Linked DNA regions of Neurospora crassa OR74A. The protein of the gene in region 2 interacts with the protein of the main gene of each other region in a pairwise test. Links are inferred from orthologs where the notes say so. Each region holds a gene or a part of one and is shown on either strand. Other genes may lie near its edges.

Evidence for each region.
Region 1: the proteins of NCU00301 (region 2) and NCU03824 interact in binary tests that used the Saccharomyces cerevisiae proteins (3 or more experiments, as listed by UniProt). The link is inferred for Neurospora crassa OR74A from reciprocal best matches to the Saccharomyces cerevisiae genes SAS10 and RRP36.
Region 3: the proteins of NCU00301 (region 2) and NCU01008 interact in binary tests that used the Saccharomyces cerevisiae proteins (3 or more experiments, as listed by UniProt). The link is inferred for Neurospora crassa OR74A from reciprocal best matches to the Saccharomyces cerevisiae genes SAS10 and IMP3.

Annotation. Positions count from the first base shown.
Region 1 is NC_026505.1:2,530,111-2,535,551, forward strand, and holds NCU03824 (hypothetical protein), read right to left. Parts: upstream 2,905-5,441; 5' UTR 2,730-2,904; coding exon 2,511-2,729; intron 2,366-2,510; coding exon 1,586-2,365; 3' UTR 1,308-1,585; downstream 1-1,307. Other genes in the region: stk-25 (ABC1 protein), read left to right, coding at 1-1,246; NCU03825 (hypothetical protein), read left to right, coding at 3,264-5,189.
Region 2 is NC_026503.1:3,361,707-3,367,986, reverse strand, and holds NCU00301 (Sas10/Utp3 family protein), read left to right. Parts: upstream 1-2,531; 5' UTR 2,532-2,680; coding exon 2,681-4,075; intron 4,076-4,133; coding exon 4,134-4,622; 3' UTR 4,623-4,826; downstream 4,827-6,280. Other genes in the region: NCU00302 (3-ketodihydrosphingosine reductase tsc-10), read right to left, coding at 844-1,776, 1,847-2,002; gpr-5 (PQ loop repeat protein), read left to right, coding at 6,112-6,170, 6,233-6,280. UniProt on the Saccharomyces cerevisiae protein: Primarily required at the G2/M phase. Essential for viability: involved in nucleolar processing of pre-18S ribosomal RNA as part of the ribosomal small subunit (SSU) processome.
Region 3 is NC_026505.1:2,663,224-2,668,444, reverse strand, and holds NCU01008 (U3 small nucleolar ribonucleoprotein IMP3), read right to left. Parts: upstream 2,684-5,221; 5' UTR 2,485-2,683; coding exon 2,384-2,484; intron 2,325-2,383; coding exon 2,294-2,324; intron 2,216-2,293; coding exon 2,192-2,215; intron 2,125-2,191; coding exon 2,014-2,124; intron 1,959-2,013; coding exon 1,674-1,958; 3' UTR 1,308-1,673; downstream 1-1,307. Other genes in the region: NCU01009 (hypothetical protein), read right to left, coding at 1-450, 504-780; NCU01007 (mito ribosomal protein S18), read left to right, coding at 3,155-3,254, 3,351-3,763, 3,926-4,183; complex I intermediate-associated protein CIA84, read right to left, coding at 4,809-4,977, 5,058-5,221. UniProt on the Saccharomyces cerevisiae protein: Required for the early cleavages at sites A0, A1 and A2 during 18S ribosomal pre-RNA processing.

The DNA.
Region 1 (5,441 bases), on a different chromosome or scaffold from region 2:
AGGTTTCAGCCGAGCCATCGGCGGCGGCAGCTCCGGGTCCGTCATGCTCAGCCCGGGCAACGTCGAGCGGCTGGTCTCCCGTCTTTCTCGGATGCGTGGCGCGGCCCTCAAGCTGGGGCAGATGATGTCGATCCAAGACTCCAAGATGCTTCCACCGACAATCCAAGAGGTCTTCCAGCGCGTCCAGGATCGAGCCGACTACATGCCGGCCTGGCAGCGCGACCGGGTTTTGGTCTCCAACCTGGGCGCCGACTGGCGCTCCCTGTTCGACGAGTTCGAAGAGAAACCCATCGCGGCCGCCTCCATTGGCCAAGTCCACCGCGCCACGCTCAAGTCCAATGGCGCCCGCGTCGCCGTCAAGATCCAATTCCCCGGCGTTGCTGACTCCATTAACTCGGACCTCGACAACCTCGCCATCCTGCTGGCCGCCACCAAGCTTCTCCCCAAAGGCCTGTATCTGAACAAGACCATCGACAATGCGCGCACCGAGCTGGCGTGGGAATGTGATTACTTGAGGGAAGCCGAGTGCGGCGCCCGTTACAGGGAACTCCTTGCCGCGGATGGGCAAGAAGACGCCGTCTTCGCCGTCCCGCACATCTACGCGGAAGCCTCAGGCAAGCAAGTCCTTACCATGGAGTGGATGGATGGCGTGGGCGTCACGCGCGTCAAGGACTTCTCGCAGGAACAAAAGGACTGGATCGGCACCCAGATCTTGCGCCTCTGTCTGCGCGAGATCACCGAGTTCAAGTTCATGCAGACGGATCCCAACTGGACCAACTTCTTGTACAACCCCGAAAAACAACGGCTGGAGCTGCTCGACTTTGGCGCTAGCCGAGAATACCCGGAGGAGTTCATCTCGCTGTATATCCGCCTGCTCGAAGCCGCGTCGCGGGGTGATCGCCCCGCGGTCAAGTCCCTCTCTGAAGAGCTGGGGTATCTGACGGGTCATGAGAGTAGAGCGATGCTGGAGGCGCATATCACTAGTGTCGTTACACTGGCTGAGCCGTTCCTGCAGAGTGCGCCGGAAGTGTATGATTTCAGAGATCAGACGATTACGGAGAGGGTCAAAGCGCAGATCCCCGTCATGATCCATGAGAGGCTGGCACCGCCGCCGGAAGAGACGTATAGCTTGCACAGGAAGCTCAGTGGGGCGTTTTTGTTGTGCGCGAGGCTGGGGAGTAGGGTCAGGTGTAGGGAGATGTTTGAGAAGGCTTTGGAGAAGACGGAGTATTTCGGGAAGAAGTGAGTGAGGTGTATGTATGATACTACTGTGGCTGGAAGTCGGGCTGGTAGGGATAGATTTGGAGGGTTAGACCAGAGTTTCTGCAAGTGATTCTTTCTTCTTTCCTGTACATCTCGGCCGAATGTTCTCTGTTATAGGGAATCTACCGAGTAAGATCACCTCAAAAAGCATAGCCAGCACTTGTGGGGTGATTTGTAACAATATTTGTGAATATTACCATTCCAACCTTTTGCGCGCCTGCTTCATCTATCAGTCCTTGATACCTAGGTATGTCTCCCATGCAGCCATTTATAGTATACCCCCAGTGTTTCAAGCAAGCAATAATCCACTCTTCCCCTTCGTTTACCTATCCTCAGCCGTCCGTCTCGCCAACGGCAACGCCTTCTTCTCCTTGCCTGCAATCTTCTTCCTCTTGCGCTCAATCGCCTTATCGACCTGGCTCTTCTTCATGCTCGCGAACTGCTCCACAAGCAACTGCTTCTTCTGCTCTGACTTCTTCAAGTAGAAGGGCGTCTTGCCCTGCTTGATGAGCTCCTTCTCCTTCTTCTTGTGCTCCGACAACAGCTCGCGCTCCTTATCCTTGCGGGCGCGCGCCTTCTTCTTGCTCTCCATCGACAGGAGCGCCCGCTGCAGCTCCTCCTTTTCGTTGGCATCTTTCGTCTTCTTGATGGCCATCCGCAGCTGCTTCATCTCGTCCTCCTGGTAGTCGTCCAGGAACGAGTAGGCTTTGCGCGCCTTGATCTCATCTACTACGCTTTTACCGGAGCTGCCGCCGATGCCGGGGGGCGCGAACCGTGGGTCCCGGGATTTGGGCTTGGCGGGCTCGTTGGCGAGAAAGTCGCGACGCCGAGAAACGGGTTTTTTGGAGGTCGTCTCGACGGGCGCGTGCTTGTTGGTGCGGTGGTGCTTCTCGACCTTGGCCTTCATGCCCTTTTCGATCTCGGTCTTCCAGTTGGGCTCTTCTTTCTCTTCATCGTCATCGGAGCCGTCCTCATCGCCGCCCTTCTTCTTCTTCTTTTTCTTCAGTGCGCCGAGAGAGGCTTGGGCTCGGGCGAGAGCACCGAATGAGAGCTGCGAGGCGTCGATGCCGGCGCCGCCGTGCTCTGAGGGTGCGTCGGAGTCCTGTTATTGAGCATTAGTCGTAGTTTTTTTTTTTTTTTTTTTTTTTTTTTTTTTTTTTTTTTTTTTTTTTTTTTAAAAAAAAAAATGATAGTATTGTTTTTTTGTGCCCATTTGAAGAAAACAGAAAAAAAACAAAAACCCTTACATCGTCACTGCCTGGTTCACTGCCCTCCTCAATCTCTTCATCCTCCTCCTCCTCCTCGGTGTCGCTGCCTGTGTGAAAGCCGCCGCCTTCTTCCTCACTAGGGGCCTCATCTGAGCTCCCCTCCACATCCGAGTCGGGCTCGGCTTCAAATCTCGGACGAACACGTCTCTGGAGCTTAGCACCCAGCGTAGGGGCAGCTTTTCGCTTGACCGCAGGCATTTCTTACTCTTTTCGGGTCCACAATTTCGTCCTTTATAAGTTCTATCCTGTCTCTGGTGGCAGTGACAACTTTGTTGTGCGTTTGATTTGAGATGGTTACCCTTTTACGAGGGAACAAACAGCAGCGGGTGAAGAAAAGGTATGAGTGAAGTCACATGGATATGTGTATGTAGTTGGTTGTCGAATTGGCGTTGAAAGTTCTGCCGCCTGCGAGTGAAGCAACATTGCCCCGCTTTGACGGGTTTTCTCAATGTATGATTGGCTAGATTCCTAACCGATATTTTGCCCGTCCCCTGAAAAGCACAGAGGCCGCAAACAGGCGTACAACATCACTTCTTGATAAAAGTGTGACATCTCATTCACTGAGTTGTTTGGAGGTCCAGGAACACGGCTTATTGGATATTTATTACCGCACATCTTCCTCAACAGCTGTGGCCTACAGCTGAATGCGAGCCGGGCCGACTTCAAGCACCTTGGAGCCAAGTGGTCCGTAGCGGCACCTTTTTGCACCGGCCTCGTCTTTTTATCTCAAGGATGATGATGAACAGATTACGAATATTCAACACACCAGGTCGCTTTCGTCTCACAAAGGACTGGCAACTATTGCCAACTACACCATTATTGCCTTACTTGCCTCGCAATAAATATTTCAACACATACAAACCGTTCTTGGCCAACCAACCTTCGACGAGGTGCATTCATACGGCTGAAGACAGTTTTGAGGCGGATAAACTGTGCTCTGTGTTTGGCGTACAACACCTGGCTAAGAAGGGAACCGCACAATCAAACGAGACATTACCAGGCCCCTCAGAACCGTCTCACCAGGCGGCTGGAGAACAGGGCAGAGTGGCTTCCGCTGGAAAGGGTCAAAGGGGCAGCAAAAACGGAAACGAAACGCAGGAGCAAAGAAGGTGTCAAAGGCTGGGTCAGCAGCAGGACAAACTACAACGACAACAACAACAGCCTCAAGACGGTCTTAAGGCACAAATACAGCAAACAGTGGACCAAATGGATCACAATCACTTCGGCTACCAGCCGGGTTACCCGCCAATATGGCAGGGGGAGTTTGTTCAGCAGCAGCAACAACAACAACAATACCAATACCAAAACCAACAGCACTATCCTCGGCAAGAGCAATATGGCATGGGATATGCGCCGCCCCCAAATATGGGCTATGGCTTCATCCCTCCTACTCATCTCAACACCTTCGCCCCAGGAACGACCATACCGCATTGGCAACAACCTCTGCCGCCGTTCTACTCGGGAGCAGGAACACGAAGTTACCATACCAACACCAACAACAACAACAACAACAACAACAACAGGCCTCAGGTCCCTCAGCCCGCTGGTTGCTATCGCTCCAGGAGTCCCGGACCCTACTCACGAGTAAGACAATACAGCAATAGCAACAACAACAACACCTACACCAACAACACACACCCAGACTTTTATCGCCCCAGGAGTCCTGGACCTTACTCACGAGGAGGAAGACGAGGACAGTACAACAATAACAACAACAATAACATCAACAACCACCATAGCCAGCAACAGCAAATACCGCCCACCTCCAGGCCCTCTCATCCGCCCAAGCTCAACAAGAAGGCCAAAGCCCGCGAAGCAGCAGCCCGCGAAGCCTTAGCCCAAGCCCAAGCCCAACGAACCACCACCACCATGATGATGCCCGCATCATCCTCTTTCATCCCGCCGCAAGGAGGAGGCACCCCGCGAGAAGGCAGGGACCCCATCGTGCCTCCCTCGCGCGCCTCCGGCGGCATCCCCGAGCCCAGCCACGCCTACAAGATCCGGGCCTCCTTCCTCGCTCGAGAGGTCCCCCAGCCGCGTCCGATTCTGGTGGTGATCGACCTGAACGGCACGCTCTTGCACCGGCCCAGCCGCAAGCGGCCCTCCAAATTCGTCGAGCGGCCCTTTGCCAGGGACTTTTTGAAATACTGCATCGACACGTTCAAGGTGGTGATTTGGTCCAGCGCCCGGCCGCAGAACGTGGAGATGATGTGCCAGCAGCTGTTGACGGAGGAGCAGCTGGGCAAAGTGGTGGCGATCTGGGCACGGGACAAGTTCGGGCTGACGCAGGCGGACTTTAACACGCGGGTGCAGTGCTACAAGCGGTTGACGATGCTGTGGGAGGACCCGACGGTGGCGGCGTCAAACCCGGAGGGAGAGCCGTGGAATCAGGGCAATACGGTGCTGATTGACGACAGTGCGGAGAAGGCGAGGAGCGAGCCGTATAACTGCATTACGCTGCCGGAATTTGTGGGGGATTTGAACGAGAAGCCGGAGGTGCTGCCGATGGTGCGTGAATATCTTAACATTCTAGCCCACCAGGCGGATATCAGCACTTATATCAGGGTGAAGCCATTCAACATCAGCGAGGATAGCAGCGGGGCCGTAACCGGACACGAGGGTGTTGCTCTCGCTTCTACTCCAGCTGCGGCTCAATAGGAATGTTCAGGATAGAGCATAGGAAATAATGAGATGGGAGTTCTCGGTTGGACATGATCATACCCGGTAGACTAGACTGGTTACAGCGAATACGACTTCGAAATGAGGATAACTTTCATGGAACATGCATGGTTCACCACACTTTATTATGCATTTACGGGAATGGAATAGCAATTGGCCATGAAAACAACTTTTATCGGAGATTTCGACAGGTTACTAGCATCTACTAAAGACTCATTCATCGGCGACGAC
Region 2 (6,280 bases):
GTGCACAGACGCCCACCTGCTATGTCAGGGCGCACAAGCCACAAAACACTGACAACGAAGAAAATGGTCCAATCCTGAAATGTTATCCGTGCCTTCTGCCCCTCCCGCCGCGATCCTCGTAGATGGTCAACGGAAGTGCCATCAAAAAAAGTGGAGTAAATCGCCCGGTGTAGGAAATATCAATGTTTCCCCCAAAGTCTAGAAATGGAGCGTATTAGAGAGTCCAGATGGGGTGGGAATGATGACTATAGTATTGATATGATGCATGTCTGTTCACGGTGCTGGCCCGATAATCGTAGAAACGGGACGTGGGGAATGGATGGAGTTCCGAGCTAATGTAGTTCACCGACTGATACCTATCCACATGTATACTGGCGAAGGTCAAAAGCTCTGAACCGAAGCTCACACATTCCATCGATACAATCCGTAAGTCTAGTATACAGTAAGAGCAGGTTCTGCCAGAAGATTCATACAGTCTGCAACAGGGGCATACCATGGGTTTAGCAGGTAGTCATCTTTCTGTCTCCGCACTCACCAAGTGGTGCTCCAAACATCTTGACGTCGGAATATACACTTATTGCTGGACAACACAAGCAGGGTATAAAGTCGTTGTCACCCAACTAAGCATGGATTGCTCATTCTTGGTGTCAAAACGCATCCGGATCGCGGTGAAGACGTAGTGCTTTGACTTCAAGGTGAGTGTCTCACAAAGGAGACGGGGGACTTGTCCAGGTTGTCTTGAGGCTGATATCGGTCTATTACAACAACAAAGTTATTACAGTATTTTTATGTTCATAGATATCATATACACATCCATACAAAAGAACAGATCCAACCATCGCATCACTTCTTCTTGGGATGCGTAAAAGGATGCCCCTTTTCCCTCGCCCACTTCACAATCGTTGAGTTCATCCCCCTCAACACGAAGAAGTAGATGATCGGTATGAGCCACCCCATCAACGTGTCCAGCACCCAGTTGTTCCTCGGCGACCCGCCCATGATCCCGCACTGCATCAGCCTTCCCAGGAATGACACATCGACAAAATACTTGCCAGCCTCCAGCCCGGCAATCGCCCTCCTTGCTACCGTATCCGGGCTTTCCGCTGGCTCGTCCTTTTCCAGCTCCACCGTGATGTCCGGCTTCGTCTGATTTTCCCTCTCGTAGCCCGGTGATACAATCGTGCCGGGATACACAATGTGCACCTTGACCGGGTTATCTGGGTAGTAATTGACCTCCATCGCCAGGGTATCCGCCAGTCCTCTCAGCGCCCATTTGGTTGGGGTGTACGGGCCATAGCCCAAAATCGCAAAAAGCGCCAACATTGACGCGGTAAATACCAAGTGCTTCGGCTCTCCGTTGGGTCCCGTGCTGTTTTCGGGTGCCAGCCACTCCCTCAAAATCGCCCGCGACATCTCCGCCGACCCAAAGTAGTTGACGTCCATGTTGCGGCGTGCGGCCGCCATGCTGCCATCGTCGGTCCACAGCAGAGGCGTCGACATGCCGGCCACGCACCAGACGATGTCCGGGGAGCGCCCGCCATTCCAGGCGATAGCTTCGGCGAGGACCGCGGCGGCGTAGTCGTGCTCGGAAACGTCGGCTGAGATGTAAGTGAAGCGTTGTGTGGACGGGTTCTTGGCGGCGGCGCGGACGTCGACGAGGGCTTCTTCAAGGCGCCCGACGTTGCGCGAGACGAGGATGACATTGGCGCCCTTTTGCGAAAGTTGGATGGCCGCTGAGCGGCCCATGCCTTCGGAGGCGCCGGTTAGGAGGACGGTCTGGTAACAGGGGTTGAGTTAGTGTTGTTTGGAGGTCGGGTCAGGTCGGGTGAGGCTTCGGGGCGCATACCCGGCCCTCGACTGGCATGTGGTTTTTGGAGCTGAAGAGACCCATTGTAGCAAATATGCCAATGGCCGCGACGACGGCTGCAACTGGGAGAGACCAGGAGGTGCTGAGGGTTTTCAATTGTTCCATCAGCGACTCTGAGAAGAGATAATGGTTCATCCTTCCTTGGATCGTGAAAGAAGATCGGGCTCGAGGAAAGTGGAATTGTTGACGCGGCGGCGCCTAAGCTATTCTGTATACGTCTAGAGTACGAACGAGTACCTCTACGGCGTAAATTTAGTGGATGCTGTCAGCAGTTCCCGTCGTACTGGAGCTTACACCCCTGTCTGTAAGTGACTTGTTGATGGGTGATGATTCGACCGATTTCTTCGCACTCCGTAGGAAAATGAGGTTTCTGGAACCATTTGCTGGAGTTTGCGTTTTCGAGTCTTCAGAAGCGGTTTTCTCTACTGTCATAACTGAACCCATTGAGGTCATGTCAACGTAAATCTGGCAGGCCTGGGGGGCATCTTGGAGCTTCCCGTCGACCCTGAGGACGGGATGGAAGCTTTGACCATTTCAGATGTAACTGTGGAGCATCTTCAATTGTGGGGTTAGGCAGCCTGCATGAGAGTGGAGCTGGGCGGTCGAGGTTCCGCTGAGAATGGATCGCAAATTGACAAGAGCAAAAAAATTCTGCCGCTTCAACATTTGTTGCCCGCCTAGCGAACGAACCCACCAGCCCATTCAACGAGCATCTCCAAGTGCCTTTTGGCAGCGTCTTCACGTCAACGTTTCTCAGTCGCGCCAAACTCCATCCAACACGCCTGAATAGATAACCGCGACACAAACGCAAAAATGGCGAAGAAGAGAAAAGCCCCGAGACCGACCGGTCCCGCCGAGCCTCGCGAGGTCGATGCCAAGGACGCCCGCCTTACCGTTAAGACTTACAAAGATGTCGCCAACTCCGAAGACGAATACTGGGAGAACCAGGATCGCATCGACTTTGACGACAGCGATGATGGCAGACAATCCAAGCGCAGGCGCCAAGACAAGGAGGAGGAGTTCCTAGAGGCTTCTGACGAGGAGGTTTTCGAGGAGGACGAATCCGATGAGGAGAGCGAACACGAAGACGCCGCGCCCGCGAAGGGCAAGAAGGTCAAGACAACAGTACTTTCCGACGAAGAGATGGGTGGTGAAGAGGAGGAAGAAGGTGACGAAGGATGGTGGGGTTCCTCCAGAAAGGACTACTACAATGCCGACCAGATCGAGACCGAGGCCGATGCCTTGGAGGAAGAGGCTGAGGCAAAGAGGCTCCAGGCCAAGAAGTTGGCCAAAATGTCCGAGGCCGATTTCGCGTTTGACGAGAGCGAATGGCTAGGAACCAAGGAGGAGGCCGAGGGAGAGGAGGATGTCATTACCGAGAAACTCAACGAGATCGAAGTCACAGAGGACATGGGGCCGGAAGAAAGATACAAGCTTCTACAGAGCCGATATCCCGAGTTTGACTACCTGGCGCAGGAGTTTAGGGAGCTGCAGCCGATTCTCACAACTCTTCAAAAAGAGGCCGAGGGCAAGCCTGCCAAGTCTCTGGAGATGGTCAAGTTCTGGACTCTTGGGTGTTACATCGCTTCACTCGCCAGTTATTTCGCTATCCTGACTTCGCCAGCAAGAGACAGCCAAGGTGTGTCCAAGACGATCAGCCCTACGGAACTCAGGGACCACGAGGTTATGGGCACGTTAATGAGCTGTCGCGAGGCCTGGCTTAAGGTCAAGGAACTCAAGCCGCTCAAGAGCGTCTCCTCGACCAGCGGCATGCTTTCGCCACCCGAAGATGAGGGCGAGTATGATGACCTGTCTGACGACGATATGGAGGACTTCAAGAAGATGCTCAAGAAGAGCAAGCGCGAATCCAAGGCTGAGCTCAAGGCCAAGGCGAAGAAGGAGGCCGAGAAGGCCAAGAAGGCCAGGGCTGTCGAGCAGTCTCTTGCCGATCTCTCCAGTTTGCTTGAAACCACCAAGACGGCAACCAAGGCCAGCAAGAAGTCTGTCAAGGTCGACAAGCGCGATGACGATGAGCGCTCCGACTTTGGTGACGAGGAGATCCTTGAAGCTCACGTGGCCAAGGAGAAGGCTGCTCGCAAGAAGAGTCTCAAATTCTACACCTCCCAGATTGTGTCCAAGTCCGCCAAGCGTGCGGATGCGGGTCGCAACGCCGGTGGTGATGACGATCTTCCCTACCGTGAGAGATTTGTAAGTCGGCCATTGCCTAAAAAACATGCCGTGTTGTCATATACTGACTTTTGCGCAGAGAGACAGGCAAGCACGGCTCAACGCCGAGGCCGAGAAGCGCGGCAAGAAAGACAGCAAGCACGGCGCCGTGCTGGGCGAGGGCGACAGCGACGACGAGGACAAGGCCGTTGCCAAGCAGGTGCGCGGAGAGGAGGACGAGTACTACGACATGGTGGCGCACAACGCGGCCAAGAAGAAGGAGGACAAGGCGGCCAAGTACGAGGCTTTGGCGGCTGCCAAGGGCGCCCGGGTCGTGGAGGAGACGACGATCGGCCCCGACGGCAAGCGCCAAATCAACTACCAGATCCAGAAGAACAAGGGCCTCACGCCGCATCGCAAGAAGGAGAACCGCAACCCGCGTGTCAAGAAGAGGATGAAGTACGCGGAGAAGCAGAAGAAGCTCAAGAGCGTCAAGGCCGTGTACAAGGGCGGCGAGGGCAAGGGCGGGTACCAGGGAGAACTGTCGGGTATCAAGACCGGCTTGGTCAAGAGTATCAAGCTTTCTTGATAGGGCTCTGGTTGTCGTGGTTGTTGGACTGGTTTGTAGTACTCTGGGTATATCATGCATGTATAGATTTTTGGGTTGTTGATAATCATGGCCTCAACGGAAATGGAAAAAAGCAGGCTTGCACACACAATGGCATTGTATTTCTTGAACACACTTGATACCTCTTCAAGATCTACAATATCTACAATGTCCAGTATTCTCAACACCGGAGGTCGCCGGTACTCGCACCCTGTTCAATCGTGTTAGTACAGGTTCATGGTAAACCCCGGGTCTGAGAATAGGGCTATATAAGAATCCCTCTCATTTTTTTTCTTTTTCTTTTCCATCCCAATTTTTAGTTCCTCTTCGTTTCTGTGCCCTTCCCTGGCATTTCTTGTGTGCCAGATTCCGAAAGAGCGAAGGCGATGTTGACTTGGAAAGGATACAAGGCCTGCGAGGGAGCCAATAGGAGCTCTGAGACGAATCAATGCAAATGCCCAAATCTCAACTTTGGATAAATGTAACACCACCACATGATAAATTATTAGATTGGGCAGTTTCTGAACAAACACAACATCCTAAACCGAACACTTCAATTTCGTTATCTTCAGTACAGGTATCTTCAACACGGATCGTTCAAGAAGTAGAGGTAATTTTTGGGATGAAACACTGGAATGTTAGAGCAATGATTAGGACATGCCACATTATTTTTTTCCAGTCCACCATGACTTCTTAAACCCACCAGGCAAAAGGAAGAGTTCCAAACCAACAGTCTGTTTTCGGTCTATCCAGAAACCCAGGTTTCCCTCGAAGGGTTCTCATGCTGTTGTTGGATGTTGTTGTACTAGGGTTTCACCTAGCGGTTGACGTACCCCACAAGATCCACCTACAGCCCGGGACGCTTGAGCCGCCTGAGACGTGCATGCTTTTAAGGGCTCTTTTGCCGCCGCCGAGGATGCATTACACGTATCTTGCAGCCAGGCGGGTCAACCTTGGGTCTTGGGGGAACCGGTTTGCGGATGAAGAGGCAAAGGATTTAAAACTAGTCATGCGACCATCAGACTTTTCACCATGTATGACTCGAATCGGATTGTAATCAGGTCGACTCTTTCCTTTGTTCAGCCTTTTTTGTTGACTTTGCATTTTGCATCGTTATCTTGAGCCTCACTTCAGTGTGTACTCTGTAACTCTTTGACCGACCGCTCATGAATCCTCAGGGCGGCTCTCAATTGAAGTGACGTATCTCCTGTCTACCAAACCCACAAAACAAGGACACAACAACAAAGAGCGAGGTGAACTGGGCATCCAAGTTCCAACGAATCTTGGGGGCAAACAACTCAATCGATAAGGCGGGAGAGTAAAGCGCATCAACAAAAACGCTTTCATTCAACCATCGCATCCTTCCTCACGCTTAAACCCACAAGTATTCTCAACCTGTACCTATCAAGAGACGGTTGCACAAAACAGTGAGACAGCATTACACGCGGTCCTACGGACAACAGCAGCCACCATGGCGCCCCCGACCGAACTCCTCAACCTCGACGTCGAGGCCATATCGGGGATCCTCGGGTAGGTCTCATTCCACTCCCAATTAACTTCACCTTCTCCATCTTACTAAACCCTCTCAACAGCTCCGTATCAATAGCATGCTGGGTCGTCGTCTTCTCCCCGCAAATCAT
Region 3 (5,221 bases), on a different chromosome or scaffold from region 2:
CAAGCATTCCCTCTTGGTGGTACAAGGGCGGCAAGTTCGGCGATGGAACAGCTTTCAGTATCCCCTTCTGCCCGGTGAAACCGAATGCGCTAGACTTCGCGAGCTCCGCAACCGTTCGAACTTTTGGTTCTAAGCTGTGGCCATGCTGGTGGCGGCCTTTCGAAGTAACTGACAGTTCCTGAGAAACTTGACTATCGGGCAATGTATGGTGGACAAAGTCACTGCTTGAGGGGTCCTGGTTTCCGCTCGTCTCTATCCATTCTTTGAGGGGGTAGAGATTGTAAGAAGGGCCGGACGGTTCTTCCTCATACGTTGCGCCACAGAAGTAATCACGCCCTGATTCTAGTGGTGAATCGAGATCATGGGATGAAGAATCGAATGTGACTCGGGAGCTTGCGTTGCGCGGTACTCTAGAGCTCGTAGGCGTAGTGTCCGTGGGAGTGAAAGGATCTGCTTGGTGAACAGTTAGCGGGCTTTGGGACAAAGATGACTTGTAGACGTACGTTTCCGAGGAGGAATCATAAACCTCATGTTGCCTGACTTGATGGTTATATTCGGACTTGGAACCGAATCAAGATGTTCATACTTGGGAATCGAGTTACGATCCGTCGAAGAGTACCGAGAATGCAAGATGTTGCTCAGTGCTTCCTGATAGGTATTGTTACCCCTGAAACTAGGGAGAGACAACTCCGAAGAGAGGGCGCGCTGGTATGGTGGCGGATCGATGGACCCAGAGTATGGGTTCGCATCTCGAACGCGGTTCTTCTGGAAAGTAGGCATGGCGGTTGTAGAACATAGAGGATGAGACTGGCGGTTTGGTGTCGGGAGGGCTCTTCCGGGGGACGAACTCCCACAGAGCGATGCTGATCTGATATGGAGCCCGGTGTCTCAGGGTGTCGAAAGAAATCCAACCTTGATTCAATGACAAGATGAGGATCAAGGTAAGGAGGTACGAGAAGTATAAGGAGACCTTGGTAACAGCAGAGAAGACAACCAGGAGTACCAGGACCATATAGGATAGAGATAAAGCCGAGGATAAAGGATGAAGTGAAGAACTGAATGATGCGGTGTTAGGAATACGGAGACATTTGTTAGGTCAGGTCTCGCTAGGGAGTGGGAGCGGAAGATGCAGAGAAAAAAGAGGAAATGCCAAGAAGAGGAGCAGGCCAAAGGGACGATTTTCATGAAAGAGTGAGCCATTGTAAATGAGCTACTTTACGGAAGGAGCGAGGCTCGTCGGATGTTTTATTTCGTGTGCTGCCAGTTTCGAGGAACGGAACAGAAAGAACGCAGGAGCACCCCTAAAACCCAGAAGTATGCCAGTGATATTGTCGGCTATTAGTCGGTAGTGGTTCGGAAGGAAGACTCACCAGGCTTTGGTCACAGTGAGACACTGCAAGTTCGAGTGGGGAGCCCGCAGCTGGTACACTTCCGCAACTCCGAGTGATTGACCTGTAAACCCGAATGGTGGTATCTTAAAATCCCTTTCACATATTTTGAATGCCTTTACCCTAAAACGCCACAGAATATTGCTCGCATATGAGCACTCCTCCCAATGCCAACTTGCAAACAACGCAGTAGTATGTCCTTTCCCAGTGATCCATTTTCCAGCCTTAGCTCCCAACGTACCATTACCACTTCCTGATATGCCCGCAGCCATGCTCTTCCGCCACTCAAAGAAGCTCGAAATCGTCCAACTTGTCGCGGTACTTCATAATGTTCTGCTTGATCTTGCTGCCGACAGACCAAGTGACGAAGTCCTCCATACTCCTCGTCACCAGGAAAGCAGGATCACGGACCTCTTCGACACCCACACGGACATGGCCCTGCTCAATCATCTTGGTCGCTGCTTGCACGGTCTCGGCCATACGAAGTCTGGTCATGACGACGGGCAGTCGCCTCCTGGCAAAGGCCGAGACTGTGACCTGGTGCTCCACCTGCGACAGCTTCGACTTGGACTGTGATTGGACGTTAATAACTGCTCGAGTTGAACTTCGATACCGGAAGACATACCGACAGAATTCCCATGTCGTAAAGCTTGTCGAGCAAAAGCTCCTCGTGCTTTCGCCTCACCTCGTTGTCTGGAGGAAGCAAACTGAGACGATGGGCGAGTTGGCGGAGGGACTGTGGCATATCATGTCAGTATGTCATGAACAGTTTCATATAGGTAAGGTTAGTTGATGAAACTTACACCGCACATCCTGTTGTACTTGTGCTAGAAGGGGGTCAGTTGTCATGGTCATTATGAAAAGTCACTGTGAGCCTCATCTCATCCTTGCTTGGATTAACATACATAGTCCTCGGGCTTCTGAATCATGTACCGTCTGTGTGACTGTTAGCAAGATGTTCTCACACAAAAACCACTTAAGGCGAATGAGCGTACCTGGCGACATCGTGATCTCTGTGCTTGTTGTCCGACTTGTAGTTGATGAAGTCGGTCTTCCGAAGAAGCTTCTGTTCCGCGTGCTTGAGCTTGCGGACCATGTTGGCAATTCGTTGTCTGTGTCACTGATGGTGTGCTGTTCTAGTTGGGTCGAGAAGTGTGTCGTTGTGAAAGGTATCAAAGATGCGGTATCAATCAGACGGGTGTGGAGGCGATGGATGGTTCAGTATCGTAATCTGATAGTAGCAGCAGCTGCAGTGGTGGTGGTGTTCTGGCGTTGAACTTTTGCTGCAATGAAAACTCTTGCCCCACACTTTCTCGCCTGCCGGGCCCCTTGCTTAGCGCACTCTTAGCCCGCAGCGAGCTCCATTTTACCCCATAAAATAAACCGGGACGCTTCAGGCTTTCCAGCAATCAGCTCCCGCCCTGCCAGCTGCCAGCCGCAAGCCCGCAACAGCGCCCCGGTCCGCGGCAGGCCCCGCCACTGCGCCGAAAAGAGATTGATCCGCCAAAAAGTGTCGCTGCCGGCCCGGAGCTCCAATTTCCAATTGCCCGCACCGACCGTGCCCGCCGCCGCCGCATCTCCCCGTCGCGACTGAACCCCCGATCCCCGATTCCCGACTCCGACCGATCGCGAAACGGGAGCTCCATTCTTGTCTGTGTGTGTGTGTGTGGTTTCCCCGAGAGGACTTGCACATCGCCAAAGCCCAGCTGTTACAAGCTGTTGTAACCATTACAACAACGACGACGACCACCACCACCACCACCACCATGTCGTCCTCTCGTCAATTCCTCTCCTCTGCGCTCAGGCAGTGCCGCGCTGCCGGCCAGAGGACCGCCCAGTTCTCGACCACCTCACCGGCCGCTGCCAGTATGTTCGCTCCGTCGATCGCAAACCCGATATGCCGCCCTCCACAACTCTATAAGCATAACACATAAGCTAACAACACCTTCAATCACCAAACAGTCCGCGACATCCCCACCACTTCCTTCCAAAATGCCCCGCGCACCAACACCAACACCTCGTCGCCGTCGAGCAACAACAACAACAACGCCGGCTCGAGCCAGTACAAGTCGGACATGTTCAACCTGCTAAACAGCGGCGCCGGCAGCCGGGGAGGAAGAGACAGCTACAACAACGCACGCGACGTCGACGGAGGACAGCGCTATGGCAGCAACAGCCAGAAGGTGCAGGAGCTGCTCCAGTCCGAGGTGACCTCCAACAACTACATGCGCATGATGAGGCGCCGGTGGAACAACGGCGACGTGTACGCGCCGCGCGACCTGTCACCGTACGAGATGAAGGGCAGGAACGGGGGATGGGTGGAGGCGGCGGATGTGGTGGATGAGCTTGGGTTTAGTCCGTTGGATAACTATCGTGTATGTTTTCTTTTTTCTTTTTTTTTTCTTTTTTCTTCTTGTCACTCCCTCCCCTCTCCCTTTCTCTTGTTCCTCCTCCTTCACACACCCCTCTTCCCTTCCCAATTCCATTGTCTCGAAAACTGGCCTCAGGCGAAATGCTAATTTCCTTGGGGACAACAGAACTTCTCCCTCATCTCCGACTACATCACCCCCTTTGGGCGGATAAGGCACTCCAAGGAAACCGGCCTGAAACCCGTCAACCAGCGCAAGATCGCCAAGATGGTGCGGCGCGCCATCGGCCTCGGTATTCACCCCTCTGTGCACAAGCACCCCGAGATCCTCAAGAACAGCAACGGCAGGCACTTGTTGCCGCTTGTTGTGCCCAAGGGCCAGAAGGCGAACAAGACCAAGAACTTTGATGGAGAGGATGAGAACTAGAATGGTCTGGAAGGTCTGGACTTGGGCGGAATGAAGGGGGAATTTATGGGGGAAATTTGCATGACTGGGCGGTTACGGGCGTGAGGTCGCCGTCTGGCTAGCAAGCATGGCTAGTAGCACGGTATGGGCTGAATGGATGGTTGATCGGCGGACTCTATTACGGTTATCGTAGAGTTGGTGTATTATTACTGTATACACGGCACACAAAATGGTATTTTGCAAAGTTTGGGCTTGGATGATGGCGGTCATCAAAGGGTGATTGTGGAGGAATGCGGATAGTGGGCATGAAAGATGGTGTGAACGATCACTCACTTCGTCTGTGCTACTGCATAATCTACAGAGACCCTGACGGAGAAACGAACAAAAAGACTAAACCTAGACCAAAACCGGTTCCAATATCCACCTTCTAGTTTTTGTCTAAAGGTGCTAAATGTAATGTACAACCCAAAGATGAACCATCCTCCTGCCCACCCGCTCAGAAGCGCAAAAAGCCACCTAACAATCATACAACGATGTACCCCTCCCTCTCTCTAACTCAAAATATAAAATTCTCTGTACAAGTCCTGTTTTTCCTTTCTTTCTACTTACTGTCGATATCGTATGTAATATGAACCTCCGTTTGAGGTCAAGCCTCAAACAGCCTGGTAATGTTGAACACAGGTCCCTGAAATTCGGTTTCTTTCTGCCCCTTACTCTCCAATCTCGCCCACTCCTCCGGGTACTCCTCCTTTGCCCAGGCCGCGAACTCGTCCTTGGACACCGGGTCGGGAAGGGCGTTATAGGTTAGTCCAAGCCTGTTTGATTCAGTTATTGTCAGCATTTTCGACAGCGTCTTGCAGGAGTTTTCCAACAAAAACAAAAATGGGAGACTCACGTCATCATACTAGCCCCATACCCCAAGCTCGCGTCAGTCCCCTTGATCAGCTTAAACACCTCGTCCATCTTTCTCCCCCACGCCGCGTTACTTCTTGCGATAGCCGCGCAATACGCATTGAAAACGTACTGCGGCACCTCCAGATCCATTCGCAACATCTTCTG